Linked DNA regions of Ovis aries. The protein of the gene in region 1 purifies or fractionates together with the protein of each later gene. This does not show direct contact. Links are inferred from orthologs where the notes say so. Each region holds a gene or a part of one and is shown in the gene's direction. Other genes may lie near its edges. The genes, in order: FBXL17 and KLHL9.

What was found.
Region 2: the proteins of FBXL17 (region 1) and KLHL9 purify together in Homo sapiens (co-immunoprecipitation; 3 studies listed by BioGRID and IntAct, with this or other methods). This does not show direct contact. The link is inferred for Ovis aries from reciprocal best matches to the Homo sapiens genes FBXL17 and KLHL9.

The regions. Positions count from the first base shown.
Region 1 is NC_056058.1:104,988,177-104,992,611, reverse strand, and holds the start of FBXL17 (F-box/LRR-repeat protein 17), read left to right. Parts: upstream 1-1,430; 5' UTR 1,431-1,748; coding exon 1,749-2,654; intron 2,655-2,768; exon of another isoform or gene 2,769-2,865; intron 2,866-3,020; exon of another isoform or gene 3,021-3,227; intron 3,228-4,435. UniProt on the Homo sapiens protein: Substrate-recognition component of the SCF(FBXL17) E3 ubiquitin ligase complex, a key component of a quality control pathway required to ensure functional dimerization of BTB domain-containing proteins (dimerization quality control, DQC).
Region 2 is NC_056055.1:89,892,279-89,896,841, reverse strand, and holds the start of KLHL9 (kelch-like protein 9), read left to right. Parts: upstream 1-1,566; 5' UTR 1,567-2,096; coding exon 2,097-3,950; 3' UTR 3,951-4,051; intron 4,052-4,563.

The DNA.
Region 1 (4,435 bases):
AAATAACCTGAAAAAGTGAAAAAGTTGGCTTAAAACTCAACTAAGAAAGAAAACTAAGATCATGGCATCTGGTCCCATCACTTTATGGCAAACAGATGGGGAAACAGCAGGAACAGTGACAGACTTTATTTTGGGGGGCTCCAAAATCACTGCAGATGGTGACTGTAGCCATGAAATTAAAAGACATTTGCTCCTTTGAAGAAAAGCTATGACCAACCTAGACAGCATATTAAAAAACAGAGCCATCACTTTGCCAACAAAGGTCCGTCTAGACAAAGCTATGGTTTTTCCAGTAGTCATGTATGAATGTGCGAGTTGGACCATAAAGAAAGCTGAGCACCGAAGAATTGATGCTTTTGAACTGTGGTGTTGAAGACTCTTGAGAGTCCCTTGGATTGCAAGGAGATCTAACGAGTCAATCCTAAAGGAAATCAGTCCTGAATATTCATCGGAAGGACTGGTGTTGAAGCTGAAAGTCTAATACTTTGGCCACCTGAGTGAAGAAGTGACTCACTGGAAAATAACCTGATGCTGGGAAAGACTGAAGGTGGGAGGAGAAGGGGACGACAGAGGATGAGATGGTTGGATGGCATCACCGACTCAATGGACATGGGTTTAGGTGAACTCGGGGAGCTGGTGATGGACAGGGAGGCCTGGTGTGCTGCGGTTTATGCGGTCGCAAAGAGTCGGACACGACTGAGCGACTGAATTGAAATTACCTGATAAGTGCGTTTATCCTGAAATGCACTTAGGGAAAGCCGGTCCGTCCCTAGCAACAGGTGTCCGCAGACAAGCGCAGAAACACGGCAGAGCCGGTCCACCCGTGAGTCCCTCGCGGGAGAACCATTCTCGCGGAGAGCACGCCGGGCACCCGGGCTGGCCTCGGGCGGGACCGGGTCTCCTCAGCGGCCTCGGCGTCCGGTCGGGCGGTGAGAGCGCCGGTTCCCGGCCAATGGCGGTTCCCGAACGTGCGCCTAGCGACGTCAGCGCGACTGTGCCCACGGACGTCACCCGACGAGCTCGGAGGCGGCTCCCCCCGGTCCCACGAAGGGGGCGTGGGCTCCGGGAGACCGCGGGCGACGGGGACAGGGGGCGGTGAGCCCGCACCCGTGACGGCGGGCCCGGCCGAGCGGCCCTCAGGGGGCGAGCGGCCACGCGCGCCGCCGAGGCCCCGCCCCCTTCCCGATCGGCCACACCCCCTTCCCGAGCGGGCCGCGCGCTCCCGAGCCGCCCCCCCGCCGCTGAGGCCCCGCTCCCTCCCCGATCCGGCCGCGCGCTCCCGCTTCGCCTCCCCGCACGCGCCTCCGCCGCGGCCCCGCCCCTTCCCGCTCGGGCCGCGCGCTCCCGCTCCGCCTCCCCGCGCGCGCCTCCGCCGCGGCCCCGCCCCCTTCCCGCTCGGGCCGCGCGCTCCCGGCGCGCCGAGCTGTGCCGCGGGCGCGCGCGCCGCCGCCGGCAGAGCCGCCGTTAAAGTGGTCTGAGGCGCGCCCCGCGCTTCCCCCGCCGCCGCCCTGACCAACTGAGGCGGCGGCCCAGGCTGCGAGCAGCCGCGCGGTCAGCAGGCTCGCCGGCCTCCGTCGGGTCCCAAGAGCTCGCGCCCCGCCGTGGTCTCCCGGCGTCCCGGGGCAGAGCATGTAGCCCCCCAGCGCCGCGTGTGTGCCCGTGTGTGTGTGTGCCCGCGTGTGCCCGCGGGCCCGAGGCCGACCCCCGCGCGGCCTGCCCTGACCCGGCCCCTGCGCGGGGCCTCCCCTATGGGCCTCCTGCTCTCGAAGGAGCCGCGCCGCCGCCCGCGCCAGAAGCGGCCCCGCTGCGGCAGCTGGTGGCGCCGCCGCCGCCGGCCTCTCCTCAGGTGGCCCCGCGGGGCCCCGGCCAAGGCGGCGGCGGCGCCCCGGGGCCGGGACTGCCTCTTCCGCGGGCCCTGCATGCTCTGCCTCGTCGTGCACGGCCCCGGCGCGCCCGCCCCCGCCGGCCCGGAGGAGGAGCCGCCGCTGTCGTCGCCGCGGCCGCTCGGGGCCTACGGCGCGGCCGCCTCCTCACAGCCCCCGGCGCGGCGCCGCGCGGGCCTGGCCGCTGAGGACGCCGCGCGCCGCCTTCTGCTCTCGGCCGCCGCCGCCGTCGCCGCGCCGCCCGCCCCCGGCCGCGGGGAGCTGGGGCCGGCCGCCGCCGCCGCCCGGGAGCGGCCGGCCCGGAGCCTCCTGTGGGCCCGCGCGGGGCCCGTGCGTCCGCCCGCGCCGCCCGCCGCCTCGCGGCTCTTCCGGGCGCCGCCGGCCGAGCCCCCTGCGCCCCCCGAGATGGTGTGCAAGCGGAAGGGGGCCGGGGTCCCCGCCTGCACCCCCTGTAAGCAGCCCCGCTGCGGCGGGGGCGCCTGCGGCGGAGGCGGCGGCGGCGGCGGGCCTGCGGGCGGCGGCCCCGAGCAGCACCCCCCGCCGCCGCTCCGCGCCCCGCGCTCCCCCGCCGCTCCGGGAGGGGCCCCCGCGGAGGCCGGCGGGGACGCGGTCCGAGCGGGGGGCGCCGCCCCCTCGGTCGCCCGGCAGCAGCAGCACGAGTGCGGCGACGCCGACTGTCCGGAGGGCCCCGATCCGCCGTGCGACTGCCACAGGGAGCCGCCCCCCGACGCCCCGGACATCAACCAGCTGCCGCCCTCCATCCTGCTTAAGGTGGGTCTGCGTGCCCCCCACCCCCCGCCGGGCCCGCTCGGGGGTTCTCTCTGCTGCACGCCCCGCGGGGGGGCCTCCCTGACACCCGGTTATTTCAGGTGCAGGGGCTTGGAGTCCGCTGAAGGTCCTTTTAATCGCTTGGGTCTGCTGCGCGTAATCCCGGTTCACCTAGGAGAGTCCCAAGCCCACTGTTGTAGAAACTGTAGGTTTTCTGTGAAAAAAAAAAAGAAAAAAAAAATTTTTTTTTTTTTAATCCCTTGAGCGGTTTGCACTTAACCGAGTAAAGACTTGTATATTAGTGTTGGAAAGTGTTCAGACAGTAATTTCAGATTTGATAACTGCTAGCTGATGTCAAAAAACAGTTACCTTTTATCTATCGAGCACTTGACCACGATGATCAGGCACAGTGCCAGAGCTTTATATACATAATATCTCACCGAATCCTTCAGTTGACGCCATGAAAGAAATATTGTTAACATCTTTACACAAGAAGAAACCGATGTATCAGCGCAAGTGCCTACAGTCGAAAGTCAGGCCGACGTGGTGTGTGTTCCTGTGGAGCTTACAGGCCAGCGGTGCTTCAAGGGGCTGAATGACTTGCCCAAGGTCACACACAGACAGATCTGCGGAGTTTAGGCCTGTCTGACTTGAAAACCCTTTTATTTATGCTATGTTCTATTATCTTAGGTAATGCAGACAGATTACCAGACGGTAAGGACAAGTGTATTTTTTGTTGGGGGGATACGTGTGTGGGGAAGAGGTAGATATCCCGTGGAAACCTGGTCCCACTTTCAGCTACCAAGTAAAATTTGCAGTTTTGTCAAGCAGCAGCAGCAGTGATGAATTTAAGTACGTGATACTTTGTAGTAAGTTAGTATTAAAAAGTTTCTTTTCCGTTCATTTTCTCTCCTCTCTCACCCCCACACTGCAGCTTTCTGGAGCTTATAAATATAAACCCCCTTTATCACTGTGGATGATATTTAAGACTAACTAGAAAAACCTAGATAAGAATTTGGCTAGTTTTATTGTTATTGAAGTAGCTGTCATCAATTATAATTTTTATTCTGAACAATATACTTTGATTGGACTTTTTGCATGTTTATAATCCTGTGTGCTTGGATTTGTTTTACTGTGATATTAATATTTTTGTAAATAATATAGCAAAGAACTGGGAAAGCTTAACTTTTCCACATGTCCAAGAGGATGAGATGGTTGGATGGCATCACCGACTCAATGGACTTGAGTCTGAGTGAACTCCGGTAGTTGGTGATGGACAGGGAGGCCTGGCGTGCTGTGGTTCATGGGGTCACAGAGTCAGACACGACTGAGCAACTGAACTGAAGTTGTTTACCTTTCAGTAGTGTATTTTTGAAGGAGTAATTACTGCCTCTGTATGTTCAGGCTGTGCATTTTAGGGCAGAGGGAATGTTCTTGAATCTTTTAACTTAGTGGACAACATGGACAAATGAAATATCCACAGATATTTGGCATAGAGGTTTGATTGCTGTCTTGTTATTTGGTAAGTAAGACTGTTTAAAAACAAAGTAAAAAGCAGATACTTCCCACTTTCTACCTAAACTGTCATTATTTCATGAGGTAGAGGACATTTTAATACAAAAACAAAAATAAAAGAAAGGAGGAAGGACATGATTTCATAATAAAGAGAGTTCCAATACAATCAGTTTATTTGCAACATTGTTCTTTTCCACATTTTTGCTAAGGACTGTCGAAAACTTGTTCTAAGGAACATTTGGGGAAATTATTCATTGGACTTCCCCTGT
Region 2 (4,563 bases), on another chromosome or scaffold:
AATGTGGAAAGTGTTGGAAGCAGTTGTCAAAGTATACATTTATTCATATATCCAAATTTAAATTGACTAGTAATTTTTAAAATATAAGTTAATCAACTATATTTGAATTTTTTAAAATGTAAGTTTTAAAATAACCATTAAGGGAAAGATCAGTAGTGGGATAAATATACACTCAAAGTGTTGACTTTAAAAAAGTACTTAAAAAGAGTTGTGAGTTAAGTTTTATTGGGGGCAAAATGAGACTATTGCCCTGGAGATAGCATTTCACATACTCTGGGAAGCTGCTCCAAAGAGGTAGAGGGGTGGTTGGTATATATGTGATTTTAGTGAAGAGAGGGGTATATGCAATCAAGCATGTTTTTTTGCAGAAGGTTTTGCTAGTCACGAGGGAGCAGATATCACCATGAAGGAATTTAGTGCTTTTCTAGATATGAGGAGATGCAAAAATTGTGCTCCTAAAATCAGCTCCTGAAAATATCTATCTGAAGACCTGTTCTGCCAGTTTTTCCAGAGCACAAGAGTGCCTCCTTTCTGATCTCCACTCTGAACACCCATCAGGTGGTGTTGAAGGTCAGCAGCTACAACAGCAGGAGAGATTTATTCAATCCTTGTAGAGGTAGATGGCAAGTGCCAATGAAAAGTGCCAATATGTAGTTTTTCAAAACATCTCTGGTGACAATATTTTGCAAAAAACTTTGTATGTCTTCAAGCAGCATTCTAACATTAGGATTTATCCCAAAATGGGAAGTTTTGTGCTCGGAGTCTGTAACATTGGAGAACAACGAAGTATATATTCAGGAACAAATGACAATTGTCTATCCATTTAAAAACTTGTGAGTGGAAAACAAAAGCACGAAAAATTTACTGATGGAATTCTGCTGCATGGCAAAAATTCAGCCTATATTATTTACATAGCATGGTCATAATTTGGTATTTTAAGAGAGGCAAATAACCTGTTTTAAATGATTAAAATCTGAAAATATGTACCCAGAGTTATACTTGAACTGTCTATTAAATTGTGTGGGATAGGTTTTTTGTTGGTTTTTTTTTTGGTTGAGGAGTTTGAGGGATCTTGGTCTGCAGCCAGGGTTTGAACCCTGGCCACAGCAGTGAAAGTGCCGAGTCCTAACCACTGACCTGCCAGAACATTCCCAGTGTGGGATAAGAATTAATAAAGTTTGTTTTTTATAGAGGAAAACTAAAAGCATCTTTCCCCTAAGGAAGCCTTCTGCCAGGTTTCAGCTTCCAGAAAAGCTGCATTTCATTGTTATCCAAAAGGCAGAAGCCAAGAAATGTAAATCTCGAAGTATTCATTTAGAGGAACAGCTCAGCTGCAGTGAAAGAGTTATATTAAAAATAATATCCGGGCACCCATTCCTATTTAATAATACCACATACAAAGTATCCCGAAGACACCCCGCTGGCCCACCCAGCACAGCTCTGCGCGACCCAAACCCCGCCTGCTCGAGGCACGGCCCACATCCTCCCATCCCCCACACAAGCCCGCCTACTGGCTAGGTCGGGCGGCTGCGCAGCCGCAGTAGCTGCCACGGCCGCTCCTAGCCCGGGGGATCCTGGGACGAGGCCTTTCCGGAAGGACCGGCTCGGCGTTGGGAGCTCGGCCCGTGTTCCAGGCCCAGGCTCGTGTTCCAGGTCCTTGCTCCAGGACGGGCCGGTAGCCGCGGCGACGCTCAAAGGGCGGCGGAGGGCGCGGCGGGCCGCTCTCTGAGGTGCCGGCCCTCGCCGTCGAGCGAGACGCCGGGCCGCAGGACGTGGCGGCACCTCCCCCTTAGCCCGGAGCAGAACTGCGGGAAGAGCAGCGCAGGCCGGACCAGGTGAACCGGGTCACTTAACTGCCTCAGGTGATGAATCATCTACATAGTAGTCAGATTTGAGGTCCACAGCCCTCTGTGGGCCAGCTGCAGAACAATTTTCAATGTGGGACTATTGTGTTCTGAGGCGTGCTGCAGTGACAGTTTGCCCTTGATAAGGAAAGCGAGCTCTCTTGCTCTTGGGACATCCTCGTTTCCTTTAAAGCTTTCCGGTCGTAACCTCTTTGTCCGGCATACATCTTTGTGCAAGAGGAAGGCGTTCACATGAAAGTGTCTCTTGGTAACGGTGAAATGGGCGTCTCCGCCCATTTACAGCCTTGCAAGGCAGGAACCACACGTTTTTTTACCAGCAATACTCACAGTTCGGTGGTACTGCAAGGTTTTGATCAACTTAGAATAGAAGGATTGCTTTGTGATGTGACTCTGGTGCCAGGTGATGGAGATGAAATCTTCCCTGTTCATAGAGCTATGATGGCGTCCGCTAGTGATTACTTCAAGGCTATGTTCACAGGTGGAATGAAAGAACAGGATTTAATGTGCATTAAGCTTCACGGAGTGAACAAAGTTGGTCTGAAGAAAATTATTGATTTTATTTATACTGCAAAGCTTTCTCTTAATATGGACAATCTTCAGGACACTCTTGAAGCTGCCAGCTTTTTGCAAATCTTGCCTGTTTTAGACTTCTGTAAAGTGTTTCTTATTTCAGGAGTCTCTTTAGATAACTGTGTTGAAGTTGGACGAATTGCTAACACCTACAATCTTATAGAAGTAGATAAATATGTCAATAATTTCATTCTGAAGAATTTTCCTGCCTTACTGAGTACTGGAGAGTTTCTAAAACTCCCTTTTGAACGGCTTGCCTTTGTGCTTTCTAGCAATAGCCTTAAGCACTGTACTGAACTTGAGCTCTTTAAGGCTGCCTGTCGCTGGCTAAGGTTGGAAGATCCTCGGATGGATTATGCTGCAAAATTAATGAAGAATATTCGATTTCCACTGATGACACCACAGGATCTCATCAATTATGTGCAGACAGTAGATTTTATGAGAACAGACAATACGTGTGTGAATTTGCTTTTGGAAGCTAGCAATTACCAAATGATGCCATATATGCAGCCAGTGATGCAGTCAGATAGAACCGCCATTCGATCTGATTCGACACACTTGGTTACATTAGGAGGAGTTTTGAGGCAGCAGCTGGTTGTCAGTAAAGAATTACGGATGTATGATGAGAGGGCTCAAGAGTGGAGATCTTTAGCCCCCATGGATGCTCCTCGTTACCAGCATGGCATTGCTGTCATTGGAAACTTTCTTTATGTAGTTGGTGGTCAAAGTAATTATGATACAAAAGGAAAAACTGCTGTTGATACAGTTTTCAGATTTGATCCTCGATATAATAAATGGATGCAGGTTGCATCATTAAATGAAAAGCGCACATTTTTCCACTTGAGCGCCCTCAAAGGACATTTGTATGCTGTTGGTGGGCGAAGTGCAGCTGGTGAGCTGGCCACTGTAGAATGTTACAATCCAAGAATGAATGAGTGGAGCTATGTTGCGAAAATGAGTGAACCCCACTATGGCCATGCTGGAACAGTGTATGGAGGCTTAATGTATATTTCAGGAGGAATTACTCATGACACTTTCCAAAATGAGCTCATGTGTTTTGACCCTGATACAGACAAATGGACACAGAAGGCTCCAATGACAACAGTCAGAGGTCTGCATTGCATGTGTACAGTTGGAGACAAGCTCTATGTCATTGGTGGCAATCACTTCAGAGGAACAAGTGATTATGATGATGTTCTAAGCTGTGAATACTATTCGCCAACTCTTGACCAGTGGACACCAATTGCTGCCATGTTAAGAGGTCAAAGTGATGTTGGAGTTGCTGTCTTTGAAAATAAAATCTATGTCGTAGGTGGATATTCTTGGAATAATCGTTGTATGGTAGAAATTGTCCAGAAATATGACCCAGAAAAGGATGAGTGGCATAAAGTTTTTGACCTTCCAGAGTCACTTGGTGGCATTCGAGCTTGTACTCTCACAGTTTTTCCACCTGAAGAAAATCCTGGGTCACCTTCCAGAGAATCACCTCTTTCAGCACCTTCAGATCATTCTTAGGACCAAGGTGTAAAACCTTTGCAGTGCATCAAGGATGATCCCGTAATTCCCCTTCAGTTGTATCTTCTTACAATGATTGGTACAGTTATTAGATTAAAAAGGTAATTGATGTTATTTGTATTGTTTGGCTTAGTATGTTTATCAAATGGTTAACAACTGTATTCTGCAAATGTATGTGTTCAACATAGCTATTTTAACAAATGTAAAAAGCAGAAAAATTGTTAGATATCTTTTTGTGGTGTTGTGTAAGGCAGAGTGTAGGTGATTGAAGTAAATGTATAATTATGTTCATTATGCTTCAAAGTTGAAAGTTTTCATCTTTGACTACAAGACATCAAAGGGAGGATGCCTACTATAACCTAAAATAATAAACAAAAAAGGTCGTCAAGCCTTATTAGCTGCTTCCCTTTTTTCATGGTTTGTGACATAGCTGCTGACTCACCAAATTGTGTGGGTACATTCAGAATATGTGACAATTCTTCAGCAGACTGGAGGAATATTAACTCAAAAACTAGTATAACCCCAAGTCAGCGTTTCATATCTCTTTCTGGGGAGAGGAAGAGAGAAAATACATTACCACACACATACATATGTATATACATGCATATACATA